Alligator mississippiensis: one gene and its partner. The protein of the gene in region 1 purifies or fractionates together with the protein of each later gene. This does not show direct contact. Links are inferred from orthologs where the notes say so. Each region holds a gene or a part of one and is shown in the gene's direction. Other genes may lie near its edges.

Region 1 (7,992 bases):
CGATATACTGAAAATATGCATCATGTCCTGAACGGTATTTAAATGTCAGTTGCATTTACAGTTAATGCTTTTATAATGCTTTCTGTTTTCAAGACAACATGCAACTATTAACTAATCAATCTGCATAAAGCTCATAAGATAGATAAAACAGTTTTGGTCATCTACAAAACAACTAAATGTTCCAGGCATAATTTCATCGAAACCACTCAGTTCCCTATCTTTTTTTAGGAATATTTTTGACAAACATGAACATTTTTAGAGTAACCCTTGTCTGTCTCTCTCTCTCTTTTTGAAACAGCTGCAAATATTGACTAAAACTGTATCCAGAACTTAAGTCATCGCCCCCCTCCTTTTGCTGCATGTGTGCTTAGTATAACTTCCAAGGGTGTTGGATAGCATCCTAACAGCTGTCCTCCATTAGCGTTGCCCACAACACACAAGTAATCTTGTAATTACTTTGCCAATTAAGGAGTGTTAGAGTGAAGTTGTAGCGGATGGTCCAGGAATTATATGAAAGGCAATGACTTCTAAGTGTGATATCTTTTATTGGACCAACTGCATAGTTGGGATAGAGTTAGACAAGCATTTGACTGCAAGACATTCTTCTTCTAGTCTAACTCCAGAGTTCGTATTATGGGGTAGCTTGGGCAGGAAGGGGCGGCTGAGTCCCCTCATAAGAGATGAGGAACCTCCCACCACAATAAGAAGCAAGAACCACCAGTCAGCCCTTGGCTAGCCCTGCGCCTTTCTAAGCAGCCCAGGTGGCAGAGGCGGTGGCGGCTCCTTCCAGCTGCCACCACTGCAGACCCCCCCCCCCCCCCCCCGCTAAACAAAGTCTAAGTGTAATTCAAACCCTGTCTAACTCCATCCAAAGGTCTAACTCTATTCAAGTTTAACTCTATCTAAGCTTGCCAACTCTATCCCAACTATGCAGTTGGTCCAATAAAAGATACCATCCTAAGAAATCATGGCCCCTCTAATTAAGGAGAACAGGATTTGGTCTGATGGCATTTGTTAAGTATTGTTCACGTTCAGCTTTGACTATTGGGCTTCCCATTGTTTGGCATGTGCTCCCTGCCCCCAAGCTCTGCAGCTTCCCCACCTAGTGGAGGGAAGGGGAGTGGCAGCAGCACAGCAGTCAAAACAGAGAGAAACTTTTAAGGTGTGATAGTGATTTTTTTTAACACCTGTCTCCCCCATCTCTCAGCCAGACTCCAAAACATGACACTTTTAGAAACTTTGTGAAAGTCTGTTTCATTTTGGTGCCAAATAAATACGTACATAAAAGCAACCAACCCCAAGGCACCCTTCTAGCCAGTAGCCCTACCTGCCACGCTGGACAAAGCAGTGCAGGGGAAGAGGAGGTGTCACAGAGTGAAGTTGCAGATTAAACTTAGAGCAGGCATAAGCAACCCTTGGCATGGATGCCAAAGTGTGGCACGTGAAGGCATTTTGCTTGGCACATGCAGCTCAGGGCAGACAGCAGGGAAGTGGCCAGGCCTGTGCTGCCAAACAAGGATTGGGCCCCTCACAGCTCCCCTGCCACCCACCCCTGGCACTCCAACATTTTACAAATGGAGGTTGTATATTTTTGGCACTCTGCCCAAAAATGTTGCCAGCCCCTGATTTCGACCATATTAAGGACACTTAAAACATGAGTCTACACATTAAAGCTCATTAACTCATGCTAAGTGTCCTCTGAGCATCTCAAAGTGATGCCACTTCAGGCATTAACTCTGGACCACACTACCTAGGGTAACTTCAGCCTGCTCTGCTGAGATAATACGAACAATTTGCAGTCCTCTATCATCCCCAAATGTACCACTTCCAGCACCCCCACCTACCTAGAGCAGGGATAGAGCCCTGATGGGGTAGCCACATCCCTGCTCACCAGCCCTGTAGCCACAAAGTCAGAGCTGTACAGGCAGGAAACAGTATTAACCCTTAACATGCAGCTGCTCGCAGCTTTCTAACTTTAGCATTATTTCACGTCCCACAAATGTAGCACAGTCTAAGACAGGAGTGGGCAAAATCCAGCCTTTGGGCTGGACTGTTCCAGCAGTGGACTCCATTTCCCAGCAGCCCCTGCCTGCATCGCTGTGCCCGGTCTCCATGGAGACCCTAGGAGCTGCGGCACAGTGACCGTGCAGCGCCAGGGTTTCCATGGAGACTGGACCCACTAGTGCTGGCAGAGTGTGCAGCTGGGTGGGGAGCTGCTTTGGGGCTGGGATCTTGCAGTGGTGACAGTGTGGTCCAGAGCTGGGGCAGAGCTGCAATCCACTGCCCACACGCTTCGGGCTGGAGTGTGCAGACAGTGCTGAGCTCCAGACCACACAGTCAGCACTGCAAAATCTCAGCCCCAGCCCCAGAGCAGCTCCCCACCCAGCTGCATGCCCTTCCAGCACTGCTGGGGCTGGGCTCCATGGAAACCCTGGCTGGGCACTGCCAAGGTGCCCCCTCTACTAGGGTCTCCATGGAAAACAGCTGCAGTGACATGGGTAGGGGCTGCTGGGAAATAGAGTCTGGCTGCTGGCAAGATCTGCCATTTTGCTCACCCCTGGTCTAAGGCCTCCTCTACACGTTATACTTCAGGCATGATTAATCACTTAATCATGTCTTAAGATGCAACCCAGCTACACGTTTTCAATTAATGGTGTGATAAAACAAGCAATAAACAAGCTAAAAAATGTGTAATAACTTTATATCTTGTTCTAATCAGACCATTAATTGACCATGTAGCCCCTGTGTCTGGGAGCCCCATCAACCAAGGGGCTCCCAGCCACAGGGGTGCACCACCTGCTACCAAGGCTCGCAGTCAGTGGTGGCAGCATTCCTGGCACTGTCCTTGCCGTGAGCCTCCTCAGCTGCAGGGCTCACAGCGGAGACAACACTGCCCTCCCTGTGTGCCTCATAAGGTGTCTCATTAGAGTCCATAGGGCCTAAACCTGCATGTGTAAAGAGGCCCCAAGGGTAGCGTGTCACTTCACCCACAGATAAACCACCCTTTTTCCCCAGTGGGAAGGCCCAGTGCTTTTCCTCTGCCAACTCAAGGCTGCAGCGCCCTGCTGTGCCTTCAAAGCAAGGCTGGACAGAAACCAGCTGTACAGCTGCGACCCATTTTTTAGGCACAAAGTGTAGAGCCACTTGGCTCTTTTTTCTAGCTGGAAAATCATTTTTATCAGGTGGCAATTACAGCCTAGCTGGTCTCCACTAACCAGTGAATGGCGCAAGCATCACTTTGTCTTGTGCTTGTTTCTAGTTAAGGCAGGGTTCAGCCATTAACTTAGCCTTGCCAGGTCTTAAGTATAAAATTATCCTATTGGAAGCTCAAAATTATCTTATTTGCTGAAAAACTACCGTACACTGAAAAATACGTAAATAAGGATGCAAATCAGTCTTCTTGTTTACTTTATATTGTTCACTGTAACTTGCCAGTGACTGAGTGCGAACTTGAAGCATTGCTTTATTTTGAGGCAAGCATCATAAGAAAGTGCAGAGAGCAAACCCAAAAATGAGGCAGCACTGTACATCTGTCTGAACAGCAGGGGCCCTCGACAACCCGTTTCAACCAGTTTGTGTCCTGCAGCAAAGTACAGACACACCGAAACAGACTGTGTTAAAATGTTTCTGAGCAAACATCAGTCCTACTACCAGAAAACAGTGGGAGAGGATGGAGAAGACACAGCTAACTCCACCTGGAAAAGAGATGCTTGGCACAACCTGTTCAAAGACCCCCCTGGGAAGGGAAGAGGACAGAAAGAAAAGGACAATGACACAACTGGACCCCAGGACAGTGAGGAAGACAGCAACAGGTTCAGCAGCAGCAGTGACAGTGATATCAACAGAGACAAGGATAGGGAATGACTGAGAATGTAAACCTAAATCGGGGCTTGGACTACAGGACTGCGATTGGGTTAGGGAAGGGCAGCGGGTGGGTGTGGGCAGAGCTGGTCCAACCATTAGGCAAACTAGGCGGTCACCTAGGGTACCAAAATTTGAGGGAGCACCAAAATATATCCAGAACAAAATAACAGGAACATCATTCTAAATAGCAGCTCTGGCTAGCTACAGCTCCACCTTGGTCTAAGACCTGTGGCTCGGTAAGGGGATAAAGCCCTCTGAAAAGATCTCAGAGGTAAAAGTTCATTTTAGACTTCTTATTTTCCTCTATATTGGAAGTGGGGGGGCACTGAGGTGCACAATTACCCTTGGCCCGGCCTTGGGTGCGGGGGGGTACAGGATCATTTGTTGTGATGGGTACACTGCTTCTTAATGTGGTTTAAAGTGTGTGATGGAAAGTTTTATGCTAGATGATGTATATATATCTATATATATTTATGTCAATATAGCTATGATATAAATATATATAGCTATGTATATATCTCTATATCAATATAGCTATACGATATAGATATATCCATATATAGATGTAGATTTCCACCCCCCCCAAAAAAGAGCAAACCCAAAAGTCGGTCAAGACTCCTGGAGAGTGATTTGGGTTTTGCATTTGCTGCATCAGTGAGCTGCCTCAAAAATTATCGTACATTTTTCAGGGGGAAAAGGACAATTTTCTTGCCATTTTCCAGTTGGTCTAATAAAAGGTATCATTTTGGAGCCAAGACCTCTAGTTTGTACACTTTTACTATTAACCAGCCTACCTGAGCGCGTTGAAACTCTGATAACGATGATAATGACAGTCCGCCTGGCAACATCACTACCAATGAACTGCCTGACATACGTAATCCCGCTCCGCCCCCAGCTGGGAGCGATTGGCTGGGGCTGGACGGGGGGCGTGGCTCAGCGTCCTCCCTTCCCCTCCCGTTCTGCGCTCTGTAACTGAAGCTCTGGCTAACTGCTGGATGGTTAGGAGCGCGCGTCACGCGGCAAGTTCTAGGGGGCGGGACCTCGCAGCCAGCCCCGCCCCCTGTCTTCAAACCTCCCGCCTCATGGCGTCAAGCTAGCGCTGCGCATTCGCATCTACACTTTCAGTCCCGTCCGGTCCCTGCGGTGGGGCTCATCCTCCTCTTCAGGCGGCTGGGCCATGCGGTAGCCGGGCCGCCAGCTTTACGATCCGCAACCGCGGCTGCCCCTGCAGTCCCCCGCCTCCCTGGCCCGTAGCGAATGTGCGGGGCCGACGCGGCCGCTAGCGCGGTTTGGGCGGTTGTCAGGGAGAAACAAGATGGCGGCGGCGGAGGAGGACACGGAGCTGCGGGACCTGCTGGTGCAGACGCTGGAGAGCAGCGGGGTGCTCAACAAGATCAAGGTGCGCGGCGGGGGGCATGGAGCCGACGGGTCTCGCGGCGGGAACAGAGCCTGGCCCAGCGGCACCGGCGCGGCTCAGCCCGGGCCTGCGACCGCCCGGTCCGCGCAGGGGGCTGCGGGGGCCCCGGTCCTGGCACAACCGGAGAGGCGTCTAGTAGGGGCGGGTTGGGAAGGGTCGCGCTGAGTTAGCCCCAAATCCGAGCCGTCCCTTTCTAGCCCGACCCAGAGAGCAGCGTTGCCAGGTCTTAAATAGGAAATTATGGTCTTGGAAGGTCACGATTCTCGCATTTGCGGAGAAACTATCATGTGCTGAAAAACAAATGCAAGTAAGTATGCAGATAAGCCACTTTCTTATTGACTTTATGTTGTTTGTTGTGAGCCACCGAGCACTGGGTCATCAAAATTTAGGTGTTTCCTTATTTTGAGGTGAGCAGTCATAACGTGCTTAACGTAGACCCAAAACCTCCCACTTAGCTGCTGGAGTAGGAAGGTCTTGGCTTTAAGCCTGCTTTATGGAAATGGGAGACTTCTCCCTGGCTTGCCCCAGGGGCTTTACGGCTGAGGGCAAGCAAAACTCAGGGGGATCCGAATAAGTAGGATGCCCACTAAAGATTTTTGGAAACATCTGAAGCCCCAGATGGGGTTGCAGGATGCTTGGTAGTAGTAAGGCAACTTACGGTTCTGGACTAATTCTCAGATTTGGAATTTGTTTTGACTAATTTGGCTTGGACTACAGAAAATTAAACAAAAAAACCAAAACCTCATAAGTCAGTTAAGAAACCCTGAATGTTACCTGGGTTTTGTATACGCTGCATCAGTGAGCTGCCTCAACAATTATCATACACTTTGAACACTTACTGTTATTGATCCTACATTGTACATGGGTTGTAATTGTACAGATACGATAATTATTATACACTTGGCAACACTGACAAAGAGCTGTTCTGCAGCCCAGCTCGGGACCTTGCATCGCCAAATGAGCTGGGGCTGAGTTGTCAGTGAGGGGATTTATTCAGAGCTGTGATCTCTTCCCCTCCCCGGGGTGCCACCAGGTCTGCTGGGACAGCCCTGCCAGCACAAGGCACAGGGTGAATCCAGAGGCTTCCTCCCCCCACCCCTGGTAAAAATGTCCTGCCCTGTTGTGGGTTCCCTGTGGTGCAAGAACTGCCCTGTCATTTCTCTGCAGTCAGAACAAGTGGTGTTTTTCTGATGGGGGAGGGGGAGGCCTGAAGTGTGTTGAGAGCTGCTGATTTGGAGGAAGGTGGACAGCTAGCAAAAGCTCAAGTTGACAAGCATGTTGGAACAAGGGGGAGTTGTTGGTTTGGAAGAGCAGTGGCAGGCTGTGCTGTGTGCCATGCTGCTAAGCAGAAGTCACCTGTTGATGCTTTGCTGCCTCTACCACTTCACATAACAGTTGCGTCCTCAGCTTCATTTCTTGCATCATATTGGTAGGTGAAAAGCACAGTTTGTAGATCCTATATAAGTAATATTGATTATAGTGAAGTTACTGAAGTCCGGCTGCTGCCTCTATTGGGTTTCCTGTGCTTTCTTTCCTTGTGCTTAATTCAAATGTGCAATGTGCTTCAACACGGAAAACTTGCTATAACCAATACAGCACAATTAAGGATTCCTTGGCTGACCACAAATTAATGAAACTTTCATAGAAATATATAGTGTATACTACTGCCTGAATTATTTCTTGTACTTGCAAGGCCTCCTGCACCTACTTCATGAGAACATGAGATTGATTTGTCATGCTGCAGCAGACCAAATGCCTTTGTGCATATCCAGACAAGGTTCCTTGGGTGAATTTGATATCTTTTATTAGATCAACCCACTTTGTGCATATCCTGCCTTTGACAGTGGGAGGTAACTTCTGCCCATAGTTTTCTTGCTCCCAATCAATTGACGTACAGCTTTTCAGTGGCCAGCTAACCAGTAACCATAATCTGAATTGGGAGTAAGCTCAATCTTTTGGTAGTTCTGGTGAAGCAATATTGCTTCTCTTGGTCTCTGACAGATTTTGGTAAACCTTTGTTTTTAAGAACTGTTCAAAAGCAACCCGGTCACTTAAAACCCAAACTTGAAATGGAAGCTGGCTTAATGGGTATAAGGAGAAAGAATACTTTTCTTTCCTGCCAAATGTCAAACAGTGATGCTCATTATATTATTTTCTGTAGTTTTAGTACATATTAATAGCTTTTATTATGGTGCCAAAGTTGAGAGAGAAAGTTATGCTTTGACAGTTGTTGTTTATGTACTGCCAGATGAAATGCAAACTAGTTTCTAGGAACTGGTGAAGGTAAAAACTAGGAAGCAAGTCCTAGAAGGATATCTGTTTAGTGTTGTTTAGAGGTTGATAAGAATAAATACGTAAGAAGATTATCTGGATATAGGTGTGATCTAGCTAAAGTAGACAATGTGAAATTGTCAAGAAGAAAAATATGGAAGGACTGAAAAATAGAACAAAGAGCAGTAGGTAGGACCCGTAACAGGCCTCCAGTAATGCAGCTGAGGGAAATACAGGGCACTTGGGGTCATTGCTGGTCTGCTACAGTGACTTGTGGTGATTAAGTGAAATCTTAGTCCTACCATAGACTAAATGAGGTGGTAATAATCATTAGTGGTTTGGAAACTAGTTTTTTTTGTGCCAAAGTACCCAGCATAGCTATAGATTATTGAACCAGAACATGCAAAGTTTCAATTGCTTTTTAAACCAGTTAATAACTG
Region 2 (7,311 bases), on another chromosome or scaffold:
GTCAGTGTGATGCAGCTGTGAAAAAGACAAATGTAACTTTGTAGATGTATCAGGAGGAATATTCTAGGAGAGAGAGAAAAGTGTTAACACTTATACAAAGCACTAGTAAGGCCTCATCTGGTATAATGTGTGTATTTCCAGAAAGATGCAGGCAAACTACCAAGTGCAAAGAATGGTTACTAGAATGATCAAGGGAATGAAGGAACTAATATGACAGAAGACCAGAAGAGCTTGACTTCCCTTCAGTGAAGCAAAGGCTGAGAGAGTACGATTGTTGTCTATAAATGCATCTGGTTGGACATCAGGGAGAAAGAAGAACTATTTAAGCTAGCCAACTATGCTAGAATAAAAATAAGTAGTTAAAAATAGCTATAAATAAATTTAGGCTGGAATAAAAACAAGTTTCCTTACCATTAGAGCAGTAAGATTCTGAAACAAATTTCCAATGGGTATAGTGGGGGGCAAAGGAAAATATCTACTTTAAAGATGGAGCTTAGTATGTTTATGAAGGGGATAATCATAGAGGGAGAAAAAATTATTTGGAGGACGGGGAGGGCTGAGCATGTGTGCAGACCATGGGGGAGCAGATTGAAGCCCCAGTGGTGAGGGAGGGAGTGGGGCAGAGGCTGGGATGAATGGGGCCCCAGTGGGGTTGGGTGGTGGGACAATCGGAACTTGGGCTGCTCGTCCAGGGGCGCAAGCGGGATCCTGTCATTGTGTGCACCTTGGTGCAGGCCCAGGTGGCATGTGCCCCCTCATCTATGTGCGGGGCAGAGGCAGCTGCCACTGAGTGCTGGGCTTTGCTCCTTGCTGCAGCTGCACTGGGAACAATGCGACACCATGTGCATCCACCCATGTCCCTGGATGTGCCGCCAGGCTCTGATTGTCCCACGACCCAGCCTGGCCAGGGCCCCATTCACCCCACCCCCTGTCCCTGCTCTACTCCCTCCCACACTGATCTGTTCGCCCCCCCCAACTCCTTCCCCTTCACAAAGGAAGTAGGCTGAAACTTGCCTGCTGTGCTGGGCAGCCACACACTGGGGCTGCGATCCTAGCTGCATATCTGAGTGTGCACATCCCTCTCCTCTCTGCTGCAGCAGCCCAGAGCCTGCATCTGGGCTGCCCTGAAGCCCTACCTGCTGCCTTGCGTTTGAGGGGGCTAAGCCCTATTAGCTCTGGCCTTCTACCACCTATGGAGATAATGTGAGAGGGCCTTGCAATGGCTGTGGGTTACACTCGGTGACACATGTCCTTTCAAGCACTATGTTTCCTAAAACAAGGGAGGAGGGAGTTGTGTGTATAAATGGTAGAGCACCTGTGGATGGAGGCCTTCTGACACACACACATGGATTCTGTCAACTACACCTTTGAGATGCTCTGAGGTACTCTTATACCTTCAGGTGTCTCCTTCAGCTCCAAACCCCTCTCTGGCATCTGCTGCTTGACTACTGGGACCACCCAAGGGTGCCTTAACTTTACCAATCTCACCCAGGTCCTATTAGCTCTTGGCTGAGGAAGTTTTGCCAGCTTAAGAATCATACTTATTATCTAGCATGTGCTTAGAAAATACTGACCCTCTCCTTTGGAGAAAAGACCTACCTGTTTGCTCAAATGCTCTGAACTCATAGTTACCACACAGACGGTAAGTTATAAAAGATAACAAAAAGATTTATTAGAAAAACAAATGAAAACAGAAGAATCAGTAACTGTATGCTGCATACAGACAGAGATATGAAAATAAACCAATAACTAAGATCTCTGATTTATTCTTTTCTCTGCATCTTAGCCCCTCCAGCTTCTACTTATGACCAAGCCAAAGTCTCTGCTAATCTGTGAGCTCATGTTGCCTAGCCCTAGGTCATGTTGGCCACAGGAGGGACCAGAGCACCCAATGCCTGAGAAACTTTAGTTGCCATGGCAACTCTTAAATACTTGTCCTTATCAGATGGTTTACACTTCTCTACTGAATTTTCAGGAAACATATATTGTGCATACAACTTCCTGCTTCTGGGTATCTGACTGGCAGGTTGGGTGTGATTCCTGATCTAACTATAACAAGGAAATACCAGATATGAAGACTGCTAATTCCATATCCTTGGTTTTCAATTACCTTAGTACATTATAAACTTTGTCTTATTCTCCCTACTGTGAGAAATACAAATCTTCCTATTAGATTGTTTTTAGGTGTTACCTTGGCTACTCTTCCCTTTAAAATGTCAGTTCATCTTTGGAATGGCCAGACGCAAGTGTCTGGGATTAGTCCACAAAGGCCTATCCGGCCAATGATTAAGCTTAGCCAACTCTGATGCAAATTCTTAGTCAACCCTTCCTAAGTAATACTATAAAAATATAAGAATACATTCATATCAAATACCATAATTCATACAAACATATGAATGACAAAAGCCAGGTACAGCTTCTCTCAAGTTATCTGTACATGCCATAAAGCAAATCTAATTCAGGAAAACATGCATGACGTTCCATGAACATTGGGGGTTTGTGACAGAGCTTAAATAGTTGCATTAGTATTGGGGTCTGTAGTGAGGATGCATGTATAAGAAATGGGGGGAGGAAAAATGCGTGTTATGGTTGGTGATGTACCTTGGGAGGAGAAATGGGCTGTGGAGCACACTTAGAGAAGAAAACTGACTTAGTGTAAAGGGATGTGTGGTGAGGCTATAGTTTAGGACAGAGTTGTCCAATTGGTAGCCCATGGGCTCTAACCAAGGCACAGCTCCCCCATCACTCCTGCTGCTGCTTCCGCTGCTACCACAGCTATGGCTATTGGGGGTCTCGGGGCTCCCCTCCAGCTTCTACTTCCTGCCACTTCCTCTAAACCTGGGAACTGGGCAGGGCAGCCTGCTGGGCCCACACAGTTGGGGGGCCTGGAGAGTCTGTACAGCATGAAGTCCTAAGCCACTCAGAAGTTGGACAGCCCTAGTTTGGGCATGGGGCTGTGGGTGGCAGAGAGGTGCATTGGTGTGTTTAGAGCAAGGGTGGCCAAAATTCAGACCACAGGTCAAATCCAGCCTGCCAAGGGATTTTGTCTGGCTCATGGCAGGTCTTTCAGCCCCTCCTGATCCAGGTGTGGGAGGAAGACTGGGCCATGGCTTATGTGGCCAGTTCTGCTGCCCCTGGGTGCACCGCAGGGCTGGGGCAGCACAGCAGCTGGACTCACTTCCCAGCAGCCCCTGCAGCAGCTGGATGCAGGTGGGGTCTCCACGGAAACCAGCCCGGACCTGTGTGGGCAGGGCAGGCTGCTGAGTGCATGTGATGGGGCTGCTGCCAGGCAGGGAGCATCCAGAACCAGGACCATAGGGTGCTCGCAGTGCAGGGGCAGAGCCAAGGGCAGAGCCACAAGCCACTGCCTGCATGTCCCTGCGATGGGGTCCCTGCGGTTCCCCAGGCAGAGGCATGCAGGGAGCAGATTACAGCTCTGCCCCAGGCCTGGGCCCTGACCCCGTGCTGCCGTGGCCCTGCAGTCCTGATCCCAGCCCCAGCCCTGCCCCCAGCCCGTCCTCCTCCCAGATGCTGTTCCCCACAGGGCAGCAGCCCCAGCCCATCTGCCCAGCCATGTGCCCTGTCTGCACGGGTCCTGGCCAGTCTCCATGGAGACCCTGGGCATGACAATGTGGGGCCAGGCCTGGGGCAGAGCCACGATCGGCAATCCGCTCCCCACATGCCCCTGCCCAGGGAACGGGTGCCCATGGTAGCGGTATGCAAGGAGCGGTCCCGGCTCTGCCGGGGGCCCTGGCCCCACACTGCCATCGCCCACCCATCGTGCTCCTGCTGGCTGCCGCTCCCTGCCTGCTTGCGGCCTGAACGCGGGGCAGAGCACTTAGGAAGCTTCGGTGAGCTGTGGCCGCGGGAGGGGGTGCCCACCAAAACTCCCAAAGAGGTCCTCCAGCCCAAATAATTGCCCACCACGGTGTGTTTAGAAGAGTCGTGGTGCGGGCGGAAGGGGCAGTAGGGCCCTTGATGGGTGCAGCGTGACATGAAGGGAAGGAGAGGTGCGGGGTCAGCTCTGCAGGTGGCAAAAGGACGACCGGTAGAGACCGCGGCCCAAGGTACAGCTGAGCCATTGCCCTGCGGGCTCCCTGGGCACAGGACGGGTCGGAGCGCGCGCATGCGCTTACGGAAGCGGCCTCTATCTCCTGCGCCGCCGCGGGCGGGCCGGAAAGTGCGCCGCGCCGGGCGGAGGAGGGGCCGGAAGTGCGCAGCGCGGCGGCAGCCATTACGCGGCGCGGGCCGAGACCGGGTGCGGAGCGGGCTTCGTGCCGCCGTCGTTGGCCGTGAGCGTTGGCTAGGCCTGGGCCGCGCGGGAGCCCGCGGCGGGCAGCGCCGCCGCCATGGAGGAGAAGGGCTTCGCCAAGGAGCTGGACCAGTGGATCGAGCAGCTCAATGAGTGCAAGCAGCTGAGCGAGAGCCAGGTCCGCAGCCTCTGCGAGAAGGTGAGTGCGGCCTTGCCCCGCCCCGACACTCCGCGCCGCTGCCGTTGGATCTGCGCGCCTGTGGGCCGGGTTCCCCCGCCGCTGCAGCGGGAGATCCGCGCTTCCTTCCCGGCCGGGGCAGCAGCACCCCCAGCCGCCAGCGCCGCGTCACCCCGCTGGAAGGGCATTCCCGCCCGAGCCGGCGGGGGCTGAGGGAGAAGCGCAGAGAGCCGCGGTCCGGCTTTGAGGGGCCGGGTACAGACGCGCGGTGCCCGGAGAAACAAGCTCAGGTGAGGACTGGATCCTGCCCTCGTCCCGATGCAAAAAACCCTCTAAACTCAGACATTCAGCACTGTGGCTCCACATCATGGCACGTCTCTTTCGCCTTGCCTGCTGTGTGGGTATGTCAGGATAGGGAGGCTCTTCTCCAGGTCCTCTGTGTGCGTTTCTCCCTGTGTCGCAGAAGGGGAGGCCAAGGCAAAGTGACATAGGTTAGCCAGCAGCTGAGCTGAGACTAGTCTCCAGGTCGTGTGAATGCAAGTCAGGTTCTGTCTACAGCACAGTGTTGCTCAAAAGAAATCAAAGAAACTTTTGCTAGGCAAGAGCCCAACTAAGGTACCCAAATGTCCTTAACTCTGTCAATGATACAGTGCGCTTGAGGTATTTAGAGGTCTGTGGCATAACATTTGCATAGAATTCATTTGTAGACATGTTTGTGCTGTCTTATACCCTCTGTTTATCACAGGCTACGTTGGAAAGCTGAGGCTGTTTGAGTACCCCAACTACCTTTTTAGTATCCTGTAGAGAAGAATGGGGGGTGCTTATTTCTGGGTCTCTCTGCCCTGGTTATTCAGGCCCTTCCAATGCTCCTGTGGTAGTCTGCATTGGAATCAACTCGGTAGTCCAAGCCAGCAGCCAGTAGTGAAACCTTTTAAAAGTCAGAGCTAAACGATCTTATGTGTGTCATTTTGGGGGGTTTTTAGGAAAGTTAAAACCAACAGAATTATTGCATACAACTGGCTATAAAGGAAAAATAGTTATGAGTTATCTTTTGTCACAATTGCTCTGTTGAAGGTTTAGGTGAATTAGTGTCAAAAGACCCTGTTTATGGCTTGTAAATCTTAGTAATTATGTACAATTGCTAATAGTTTAATTTTAATTTGTTGAGATATGCCTTATGCATGGGGCTTTTTAATTAATTAACCTTTTATATGGAAAGTTGATGGCTTGTTCTGTCAAAATTCATCTCCTCAAAGGTTACTGCCATAAGTGCCAAATTTCTTAAACCATTTACTTTTATTTAAATTGTATTGTGAGCAAAGCTTCAGAAAAATTATTTTGTCCTTGCGGTAAGCTTGAGCATGATATGATTTTTTTTTTTCTCCATAAGTAAGGTTTTGAATACCTGCTCAAAGTACAAAGAAAAATACTTGTGGTAATTAGGTTTCTTTAAACTTATCTTAATTTGTATATAACATTTACTTAAACTTTGAAAAATGTTTAATTACTATACTTTTATTTCTTTTCAGTTAATGGTGTTGACTAGTTCTCCCCACCAGGTCTATTGTCCTAAGACTGTGGTAGCCAACTAATGTTTAGTCTTGTAACTTAAAGCTAGGTAGATAAGGAATTTTTAATTGGATGATGACTAAGCCAAGTGAACAAAGTTCACATATAATTCAGGGGGAAATAACTTATAATTGTTAGAGTATTTCATCAACTTTTTTGGTCACCTCAACAGGGGTTGCAAACAGCCCATAGCATAATTTGACTATAATTTCTAGTTGAGGCTTGTAGTTACCTGCAAGACAAAATACTAATGAATAAATATTGGATGCTATAAAACTGCTTCCTGTGCTAGTTATGAAAAACAGGCTGAACTTTGGAGGCTTGTCTATCACTGGTGATATAAGAATCTTCCTTGGCATGGTAATAGTTATGGGGACAGAATTCTATTTCTGTGGTACCTTTAATTGTCTCTGTCTCTATGTGTCTCATGCAAGCAACTTTTGAGCCAACTGCTTAGACTTTCATGCCCTCACCTGTGGGGATATAGGATAGTATGACTCCAGTTGCCTTTAATTCTCTTTTATCCAAGTCGGTGATGGGGACTTAGTAATGTCCACTATGCTCGTTGACCTCACAAAATAGCTTTTAAATTCCATTTTAGTTCTTAACGTACTTCATAAATTGATATAGGTCTGTGAACAAATCTTAAGATTGGCAGTCTTTTGTGCCTGCAAACCAGTAATTAGGCAGTAGACATTCTTCATACTGGAATGAAATTTAATGGACGTAGAAACAAACATTTGTGGCAAAAGTAGGAACAACAAAAGGATGGAGTTCAATACTGACAAATGCAAGATGCTACATGTAGGGAAGAATAATCAAAAGCACAAATACAGAATGGGTGATAACTGGCTTGATGGTAGCCCTGGAAAGAGTAGGTTTTTTTGGCCCTGGTGGGTTACAGACTTGGTACGAGTCAGGATGTCACGCACTACAAAAAAATGCAATTTGGCTTGCAGCAACAGAAATATAGGGTGTAAGAAGGATGATAGTGCTACTCTATCTGGCACTGGTTAGGCCTCACCTAGAATGTACAGTTTTGGGCTCCACATTTTTAAAAAGGATATGTAGAAGGAAGGGTGGTGGGCAATAAAATGATAAATGGTTTGGAAGACAAGGTATACAAGGAAAGGTTGAGAGAACTAGGCATCTTTAACTTGCAGCAAAGGTGATTAAGGTGGGAGACATAGTCTTCAAATACCTTGAGTGCTGTTATAAAGAGGGAAAATACTTTTCTTACTTCATTACAATAACTTGAATTGCTGCAATTTTGAGTTTTGGTTGGCTGTGAGAAAAAAAATTTTTTTTTTCC

Evidence for each region.
Region 2: the proteins of CEP43 (region 1) and PPP2CB purify together in Homo sapiens (affinity purification with mass spectrometry; 4 studies listed by BioGRID and IntAct, counting the BioPlex papers as one, with this or other methods). This does not show direct contact. The link is inferred for Alligator mississippiensis from reciprocal best matches to the Homo sapiens genes CEP43 and PPP2CB.

What each region holds. Positions count from the first base shown.
Region 1 is NC_081824.1:144,063,338-144,071,329, forward strand, and holds the start of CEP43 (centrosomal protein 43), read left to right. Parts: upstream 1-4,904; 5' UTR 4,905-5,179; coding exon 5,180-5,263; intron 5,264-7,992. UniProt on the Homo sapiens protein: Required for anchoring microtubules to the centrosomes. Required for ciliation.
Region 2 is NC_081825.1:168,614,374-168,621,684, reverse strand, and holds the start of PPP2CB (serine/threonine-protein phosphatase 2A catalytic subunit beta isoform), read left to right. Parts: upstream 1-4,222; 5' UTR 4,223-4,349; coding exon 4,350-4,451; intron 4,452-7,311.